Xenopus tropicalis: one gene and its partner. The protein of the gene in region 1 purifies or fractionates together with the protein of each later gene. This does not show direct contact. Links are inferred from orthologs where the notes say so. Each region holds a gene or a part of one and is shown in the gene's direction. Other genes may lie near its edges.

The links. The genes of interacting proteins can lie anywhere in the genome.
Region 2: the proteins of iqgap1 (region 1) and actb purify together in Homo sapiens (affinity purification with mass spectrometry; 4 studies listed by BioGRID and IntAct, with this or other methods). This does not show direct contact. The link is inferred for Xenopus tropicalis from reciprocal best matches to the Homo sapiens genes IQGAP1 and ACTB.

Annotation. Positions count from the first base shown.
Region 1 is NC_030679.2:106,845,590-106,850,155, reverse strand, and holds part of iqgap1 (ras GTPase-activating-like protein IQGAP1), read left to right. Parts: coding exon 1-64; intron 65-300; coding exon 301-513; intron 514-2,081; coding exon 2,082-2,248; intron 2,249-2,613; coding exon 2,614-2,736; intron 2,737-3,979; coding exon 3,980-4,088; intron 4,089-4,566. UniProt on the Homo sapiens protein: Plays a crucial role in regulating the dynamics and assembly of the actin cytoskeleton.
Region 2 is NC_030685.2:46,572,212-46,576,910, reverse strand, and holds the start of actb (actin, cytoplasmic 1), read left to right. Parts: upstream 1-1,367; 5' UTR 1,368-1,393; intron 1,394-2,428; 5' UTR 2,429-2,434; coding exon 2,435-2,557; intron 2,558-3,546; coding exon 3,547-3,786; intron 3,787-4,161; coding exon 4,162-4,600; intron 4,601-4,699. UniProt on the Homo sapiens protein: Actin is a highly conserved protein that polymerizes to produce filaments that form cross-linked networks in the cytoplasm of cells.

The DNA of each region.
Region 1 (4,566 bases):
TATTCGGTTCCAGCCTGGAGAAACCTTGGCAGAAATCTTAGAAACTCGAGCAACCAATGAACAGGTAAAAAAAAAAAAGCCAAGTGCGGCTATGTAGTCAGAGATGGATATTTGTGCACCTTTTGTATACATTAAATATAATAATTGTAGGTGTTTGACAAGTGTAAGTTACCAGGTTAATTTTGTACTTTGTATGTGAGAAAATGCAGTTTTGAAATGTAATCAGCATCTGTTCTATTGTCAAATGTGGAAGCATCTGCCAGCAAGTGCTCTACAACTTGTGTTGTTGTCCTAATTCAGGAGTCAGATCATCTGCGAGCCATGCAGAGGAGAGCTATGAGAGATGCAAAAACCCCAGATAAGATGAAAACCGCTAAGAGCCTAAGGCAAGACAGCAACCTAACCCTTCAGGAAAAGAAGGATAAGATAAAAGCCGGTTTAAAAAAGCTTGAAGAAATGGGTTTGGTTAATCCAGATAATCGGTACCAGGATCTCATCAATGACATTGCCAAGGTAAATTGACATGAGTATATATTAGATAGCATGGAATGGTATGGTTGTATTGGCTGGACAGAAAATAAAGAGGATTTACAAATGGTAGTATTTCATAAGTGGTTCTCCTTAAATTCAAGTAAATGGCTAAATCCATTGCTAGTTGTAGCATTGGTTGCTGAGCTAATGTAACTAGTTCTTAATGACTATTATTATAAGAACCATGGTATCAATAGCAGCTTTACCGTCAGTAAAAAAATATTTTTTTTGCCTTTGCTGATGCTAAATCATCAGAAATTGTGCCCCCTGAAGCAGCACAGTGGTAGTGCATTAATCAATGAAAGTGAAGGAGGTGGGCTATACTGAGGGAAATGAGAAGGCAAGCTGTTGCTGCAATGGTCTTTGGATTATGTGGCATAGGGCTGCCTAATAAGGGAGCTCAGCATTTCTCTACCATTGGAATAACTAAAATAACCAAGGTTTATTAAAGGAGAAGGAAAGGCAAAATCTATTAAGCACACTATTAAAAAGTACTACTACTGCTGTGTAAAATCGCTATATTCCTGGCTTGCCTAATGAAAGATTTACAAAGATACACATGCTAGAACTTACATGCTTGTTTCAGTGAACGGCGCCGCCATCTTATCCAGCATGTCTGAATGGGCTGAAAAGTACAAGCCGGCTCCCTGCTCCTGTTAGAAAGTTTCTGCAGCTCCACAAATTCCCCCTCCATAAACAATCTCCCTGGCAGCAGCAGCCCGCCCTCCCCCCTGCTTGTGAGGAAAAAAAAAAAAAACGGAGCTCTCTGCTGTGCACTGAGCATGTCTGTGTCCTGGACAATCTGTGTTCAGTGAGACAGGAAGCTGCACAGGCTTAGAGCAGGTACTGTATTTACTGACAAGACTTTTCCATGTCAGAGCCAGATGAAGCAACAGCACGGTGAGTTCAGGAAATATGTTAAGGACTGTGTTAAGGCTAAGTTATTGAGCTCATGTTGTTTTTAGACTTTCCTTCTCCTTTAAATAAACTTTATATGTTTCTAGAAATAAGTGTCGTTGTTCATATTGCAACATAACTGCAACAACTGAACACTGTTTCAACCATGCACAGATTTAGTTGGGGAGTAAATATGGCTCACTTGACCCTTACCAACTATTTATTCACATATCCCTAACTGGCCTGCAATCCCTACAGATTCTGGTGTGTCTACAGTGAGATTATATCTGCTCATGCGCATCAGGCATCTGCAAATATCAAAGTGAGAGTTGCCACAGCTCTCCCTATGATGATGACCAAATTGGACAGTACAGGTATAGGACCTGTTATCCAGAATGCTTGGGACCAAGTGTATTCCGGATAAGGGGTCTTTCTGTAATTTGGATCTGCATACCTTACGTCTACTAAAAAATCAATAAAACATTAATTAAATCCAATAGAATTGTTTTGCATCCAATAAGGATTATTTAAATCAAATACAGATGTAAAGACAAATGTTTGAAACTTATATATTTTACATTGTATAAGTAAACAAAACCCTAAGTATAGTCTTCAGTAGGCATTTCTGTCTAATTCTTGTTTCTGCAATATAGGATATCCGTAATCAAAGGCGATACCGCCAGCGACGAAAGGCAGAGCTTGTGAAGCTGCAGCAGACACACACAGCGTTGAACTCTAAGGCTTTATTTTATGAGGAACAAGTGGATTATTACAAGAGTTATATCAAAACCTGTATGGACAACTTGGCAAGCAACCGCAAGTAAGTGTTTGAGAGCAAATGCTGCTTAAGCTTGTTAATACAGTATGGCTAAATGTCAGCAAACACATGTCCATATAGAAAAACATTTCTTCGTTAAGCTTTTTGTTATTTTTTCATAGCACAATAAGATAAAAATTAGAAAAATAAAATGAATTAGAAACCAGACAGCATGGATGGAGGAGGTTGCCTTCTCTGGCTTTTAACATGGTTTGTTAAAAGCAATTTTTCTATGAATCTACATTATTAGGTTTACATCAGACTCACTTTTATGGAAGAATAGCTATTATGCTTTTAAATTTGGATACATAGTTTTGCTGCTGTTCTATGTTTTCAGATGACTTTTGCATCTTTTACCGTTACACCAGGTTGTCTAAGAAACCAGGCCAAGCTAAAGGGAAGAAGAGTAAAAAGATATCACTGAAATACTCTGCGGCACGGCTGCATGAGAAAGGGGTACTGCTAGAAATTGAGGACCTTCAAGCAAATCAGTAAGTTCTGTTGACTCTGACAGTGGCAATAGAAAAAATTGTTGTACTATAGAATAAGACATTTACAATGTAAACAGTGTTGTAAGAATATATTTGCCAAGAACTGGTTGCCCCAAAGGGGAAGATCACTCATTACTTGGCTGCTACATTCCCTGGTTTGCATGAGGACAACAAGGATACACACTGCATTTTGTGGGTTCTGAGTACAAATATGTATAGATTCAGTACCACAAAGCACCACTGTAGCTATTTGTATGCAGTGCAATGCTTGCAATTAGAAACAAACAAGTTTCTGTTAAAGAATATTACTTAGATGCTTATTTTAGCAAATTTGGAGAGTGGAGAATATTTTTATAATGTATGTAAGGAAATCTGAGCCTTGAAACAAGCTTTACCTTGTTGGTATAATAGGGCTGCATCTAGATTCAAAAACCTGAGTATGCCCAGTGGTGAAGATGTGCCATACCATAACATGCACCTGCTTGATTTGTTATCCTCCTCTTATACAGCTGCTGCTGAATTTGACACAAACTTTTAAACGTATAAACATTTTTCAATTACGTTTCTTTATTACAGAGGTTTATCATTGCATCACAAATTCCTCCAAGTCCCTGTAACAGTTTACATGACTTGTTTACTTACAGTCTTGCTCTCTGTAGTAGCATCTCTCTTTAAAATGCAGCTTCTCAAATCCAGTCTTCATTTAATTACATAATTTATATTCCCTTGCCTTGAGCAACACCCATCTTCCACTTCTAGCCATATTGCCTTCCCTCTGGGTATTGCATCACAGCAGGTTCCTAGTTCTGTTGCCATTTTCAAAGATTGCATCATTTTTTTTTTAAATCTGTATTAGAGATGTATACTGCATTAGATGGTATTAAAATAAACATAAAGCTTTTAGCTCAGTTAGAAATGAATTAGTATAATCCAGATTTAACTACTTAATCTTTCCCTCCCCTGTTTCATATTAAGTAACGTGAGCAGAAAGGAGCATGTGGAAAAAGTTGGGGTAAATATGTGGATAGTTATTTTAAAAGTAGAAAACTTAGAGAAAATGTATATACATTTTCTCTAAGTTTTCTACTTTTAAAATGTACTAAATACTAGTTTGTTAACCTTCAGTTTGGCATCATTTATTCATAAACTGCCATTGGGGCACACCCATACATCATTCTGTGACAGACATCATCACATTCGCCATCTATATGTCATTTGGTTCCTTATTCTTCTTCCTGTGCAGATTCAAGAACGTGATTTTTGAAATCGCTCCCACAGATGAAGTTGGTGACTTTGAGGTGAAAGCCAAGTTCATGGGCGTTCAGATGGAAACATTCATGCTGCATTACCAGGTATGATTTTGACAACTATCCATACTGAAACACAAAAATCACAAACAAATAAACTCCCACATTACACCAGGGATCTTTAAAATCTACATCCTTAAAGGGGAACAATCATGAAAAATGTTTCTATACTATTGAAAATATAAAGTCTAGGCAATTTATAGCTTTTTAAAATTTTGCATTGTTACAAAGTTATGGCTAAATATTGAAGCAGCCTCCCATCCCCCCCTTCCCAGTGATTTTAATTGCTTACCTTTTTACCCCTGGCTGGTGCTCCACACCACAACCACACCAGCCCAGAGTAGCTGCGAGCCAGCGATCCTCCTTCTTCTCTCTTCTATCATCTGGATCCCAGGGCCGGCACATGTGCAGTAGAGTGAAAAAGCTGCTTTTGCTGCTTTTTTTTGTTGTTGTTAAAGTGTGGCTTTTCTTTCTACTGCGTAACTGGTTCGAAGAAGGAAGAGGCTACTCCAGGCTGCTGTGG
Region 2 (4,699 bases), on another chromosome or scaffold:
TTTCACGTTTGGAGCCAATCAGGTCTCCAGCTCTAACATCTGGCTATTAAGCTCTTTTACCCCTAGCTTTTGTGAAACCACAACTGTGAAGGGATCCTATCTAGCTGAGGTAAAGGACAGTCTATAGACCACTACAGTTGTAGGACTTTTGGCTTCAGGGTAGGGGATAAATAGGACTCCCCTAGACCTGATGAAGAGGGCCTAAGACACCTGCCCCTTCAGGCCTCCTCGCTGGGGGGGCATTCATTCTTTCCATTTTAAAGGAGGGTCTAAATTTGCTGACCCTTGCATTCTTTTGTTTTTTTTTTGCACCTGGGTGAAAAAGCATGTTCTTCAGGCTTCAAAAAACATATGAGTGAGATTGGCAGGGAAGGTCATAGTCATAGTAAACTTAGACTTTGCTGATAAACTTGGTCTTTGCTGATATGAGGGTTGGTTACTTGGGGAGCTCACATTCCAGTTACTGCATGGGGCTCCAAATGTTTTACTTTAGATTAGTTTAGATTTTTTTTCCTTACATACGTTGCATTTTATTCTCAGGGGGACGGATGATCTTCGACAGTATCAGCTTAACCAATAAATACGTTTATGAGTACCAGAGGTCATTGTAGAGCTGTAAACTGTAAAGTTAAATAACAAATGGTTGACCTGCATAGGAAATGGAAGTATGGACAAAGAGCAGTATCGCTGACTCAGAGCAGGGAAGGCGATTTAAAAGTGTTTATATAAGGAAATATGTGCTATAATGATACTTTTCTTTCCCTTACAACACAGCCATACATGAAGAAATAACTAGGCACTATCACAATATGCTGGCGCTAGAGACAAGAAGTGCAATCGAGTCACTGTATTCATGGATTGTACGCAACACAATGCAGTGCGTCACTGTAACGTTACAAAGCTTACTGTCTCGGCAGGCTGCAGAAATCCTAACGAACTGCATTTGGTCCTGACATTTCTGCAGACATAAACGTGCAGACTATCTGCTTTGCAAAGCCATGTTTTAAGAGAGTAAATCATTTCAGGCCAATAAAGAATATAAAAAGAAAGAGTTCTGCACCGCGCCCTTTATTATACAGCAATTAATGGAAAGGATAAGGCGTGGTATATCTAAGTGTAGATTTAATGAAACATATATATGTATATTGATATCTATGTATGTACGTATCTGTGTATATACGTATCCGCATCCTAGCTAGTAGGTGTAACTGCCTCACTCTACGCGCCCCCTTCGCCCGCAGTTCCTACAGCCAATCAGCTTCCCAGTTCCTGGAACGCTCCTTATATGGTGCAGCCGGCTGGGGCGCGCAGCATAAAACCGGCGCCCTAGCCCGACAACTGCTCAGTGACCCGCCCGCACAGAAACAGGACAGTGTGTGTGTCGTACTCTCAGGCAAGTAGCGCCGAGCCTGCTATTGTTGTGCTTTTCCTCTGCTATTTCCTGCTTCTATTCGCCTATTTTTCTCTATATATTATTAGAATAAGCATGATTTGGTTCTAATTGGCTATGTTTTTCATAATGTGCTTGAAATAGTTGGTAGCTTAATGTAGCGTTATTTACTTGAAGGTAAGACTTGTTAGTAGACAAGCGTGAAGCCTGGTTCTGGAATTGTGCTAAAGTTCAGTTCCTTATATGCTTAATTAGATCTTAATTGATAAAGGACACTGGAAGTTGTAGGTTGTACATACTGGAGAGCTGGGGAACCATTTTTCTGTTACAGCAGGTTTAACTTGTAAGTTGCATTTAAAAATAGGGTTTTGTTTTTTTTTTGTATCGTTTCCTCTTCTGTAAACTGAGCCCCCAATAGCAGCGCCGCTTGGGGATGTGCGATTGGGCGGTTCCCTGCCGATGTTAGTGTGAGGCTGCACACAAAGCTACATATTGTGTATAAGTGTGTGATGCAATCTGTGTCGGAACAGCCTTTTGCTGTCTAAAATATATTGGCGGTAGTTCTCTCCCGCTTCGGTTTAGACTTTCCATATGCATGTATATCCGTAACTAGAATACAAAAGCGCAAGTTACATCTTATATATTTATTTTGTCCTTGCACTGGTAAAAACGGAGTCACACCTGCAGTATGTGATTCTGTCCTGTAGTGTTGCCTTCATGAAACATTGGGAGTGGTAGTCGGTTGGTTCGATTGCCTAATACCAGCAGTGACTTGTTTCTTTGCCACACCTTCACTATCCATGGCTGGATGGGAGGGGTGCTTGTGTAAATCTTTGCTGTTGCCTTATTTGGTAATACAGAAAATAAATCGATTTCCCTTTGTCTAAATCTGTACAGAAATGGTGCAAACCCCTGCGCCCTCTTGTGACAGACCTTATGAAATGCAAGTAATGGGCAGGAAGCGTCCTTGTGGTATATACCAGCGCTCATAATTTGGGTGGATAATTATCTCAATTTTATTTATTTTTTAAATTTCAGATTACAATGGACGACGATATTGCTGCACTGGTCGTTGACAATGGTTCTGGTATGTGCAAAGCCGGCTTTGCAGGTGATGATGCACCCCGTGCTGTTTTCCCATCCATTGTTGGTCGCCCAAGACATCAGGTATGCCCTTTTCATGCCTTTTTCATTTCATGTCTAAATAAAACCTAGAAATAAAACTAGTAAAGCACCTCTAACAAATCAGTGTGTTGTCCCAAGGAGGTAAAACATTTTTTTTTTTTTTTTATGTATTTAACTGTTAAAGGTGAAACTAATCTGGGGGCAAATAAAACTGCAATTCTGCATGGGTTATAGGTATGTTGGTAACAATATATTTGCCATTGAGTGTTTTTAAACCATACACGTAAGGATAGTTTCCAAAAAGTGTTGCATAAGATGATGCAATTTTTTTTATTTTTTTTTTTTTTTTTACTCTTTCAAATAAACACTGCAGGCAGGAATAATCACATAAATAGCTGTGCCTAGGGCACCCCCCAACTCTTGTGCCCTAGGCTTGTGTCGGTTATTCCTTTAAGCTGGTTTTGGGCACTTCTCGGCAAGGCTGAAACTAGGAGTAGGCATATTTAAAATAAACTCTTTATACTGTCCACACAAACCCTGTTTATTGACTTATGCTGTGTAAGTGCTAAAGCCAGTTACATTTTCCAACCCTGCATGAAAAGAATTTCTTTTCAGAGTGTAATGTGGTTTAATTTAAATGGAAAAATATTTTAATTAAGTGCAGGTTAAGTGTGTGTATATAGATATTTAATATGATATATATATTGTACTTTGCACACTACATTTCCATATTCTTTGCAAATTGCCTACTTCTGTTTATTTGTGAAATACACAGGGGCGTGGTTAACATAGCAAATGTTCTTGCATACTCTTGTTTCCTGTAAGCACAAGATGACAGGAAGTATTACGAAATTAGAGGGCCCTGCCCAAAAGAGCTTTTACTCTAGAATTTCCTCTTAAAGTCTGCATTATGTGAGGTCCATGAAAATCCACTTTATTCATTCCATTGTCTGGCTAGTATTGAATTAAGGCATGCTTTTCATTTACTAAATTACTTAATTTAGTCCAAATTGTCTTACGCTTTATTTTAGGGTGTCATGGTTGGAATGGGACAGAAAGATAGCTACGTAGGAGACGAAGCTCAAAGCAAAAGAGGTATTCTTACACTCAAATATCCTATTGAGCATGGCATTGTCACTAACTGGGATGATATGGAGAAGATCTGGCATCATACCTTCTACAATGAACTCAGAGTGGCCCCAGAGGAACACCCAGTGCTGCTGACAGAAGCACCCTTGAATCCCAAAGCTAACCGGGAGAAAATGACGCAGGTATGTTACCTGTTTTCTGGTGTGAGGGTTTGGGTTGTGGGTTTTGTTTTGTGTTTTTTGTTTTTTAATTATATAATTGCTATTCCTTACAGGGCTGTCCTGGCCTCAAAGTTTACTGGAATCTCAAAGGTTTTTTTTCAGTATTTGCCTGTTTTACATCAAGGGTAGAATACTAACAATGTTAGCGTTGTGTGAAAAGTGCTGAATGATGGCTTGTTTTTCAAAGTTCACTTTGCTTGTGTTTTTCCTCACATTGGCCCTGCCTAAATTTGTGTTGTGTGCAGCAAAATCAAATGCTGTTCTGAAACTACACATGCATGAGTTTTGGATGCCTTTATGCAGGTAATGTGCTAATTGCCTTTTCAACCATTACAGATCATGTTTGAGACCTTTAACACTCCAGCTATGTATGTTGCCATCCAAGCTGTGTTGTCCCTGTATGCATCTGGTCGTACCACTGGTATTGTCATGGACTCAGGTGATGGTGTAACACACACTGTGCCAATATATGAAGGTTATGCTCTACCCCATGCCATTCTGCGTCTGGACTTGGCTGGACGTGACCTGACAGACTACCTCATGAAAATCCTCACTGAGAGGGGGTACAGCTTCACCACCACAGCTGAAAGAGAAATTGTTCGTGATATCAAGGAGAAATTGTGCTATGTTGCTCTGGACTTTGAGCAGGAGATGGCCACAGCTGCTTCTTCTTCATCATTGGAAAAGAGTTATGAGCTGCCTGATGGACAAGTTATCACCATTGGTAATGAGCGGTTTAGATGTCCAGAAGCACTCTTCCAGCCTTCTTTCCTTGGTGAGTGAATTTGTAGCACTGTCTTAATGAGTGGGTTGGCTTATTTTTATAGATATTTTATATATTTTTAACGCCCTAATGTTTCTTTACACCTTTTTA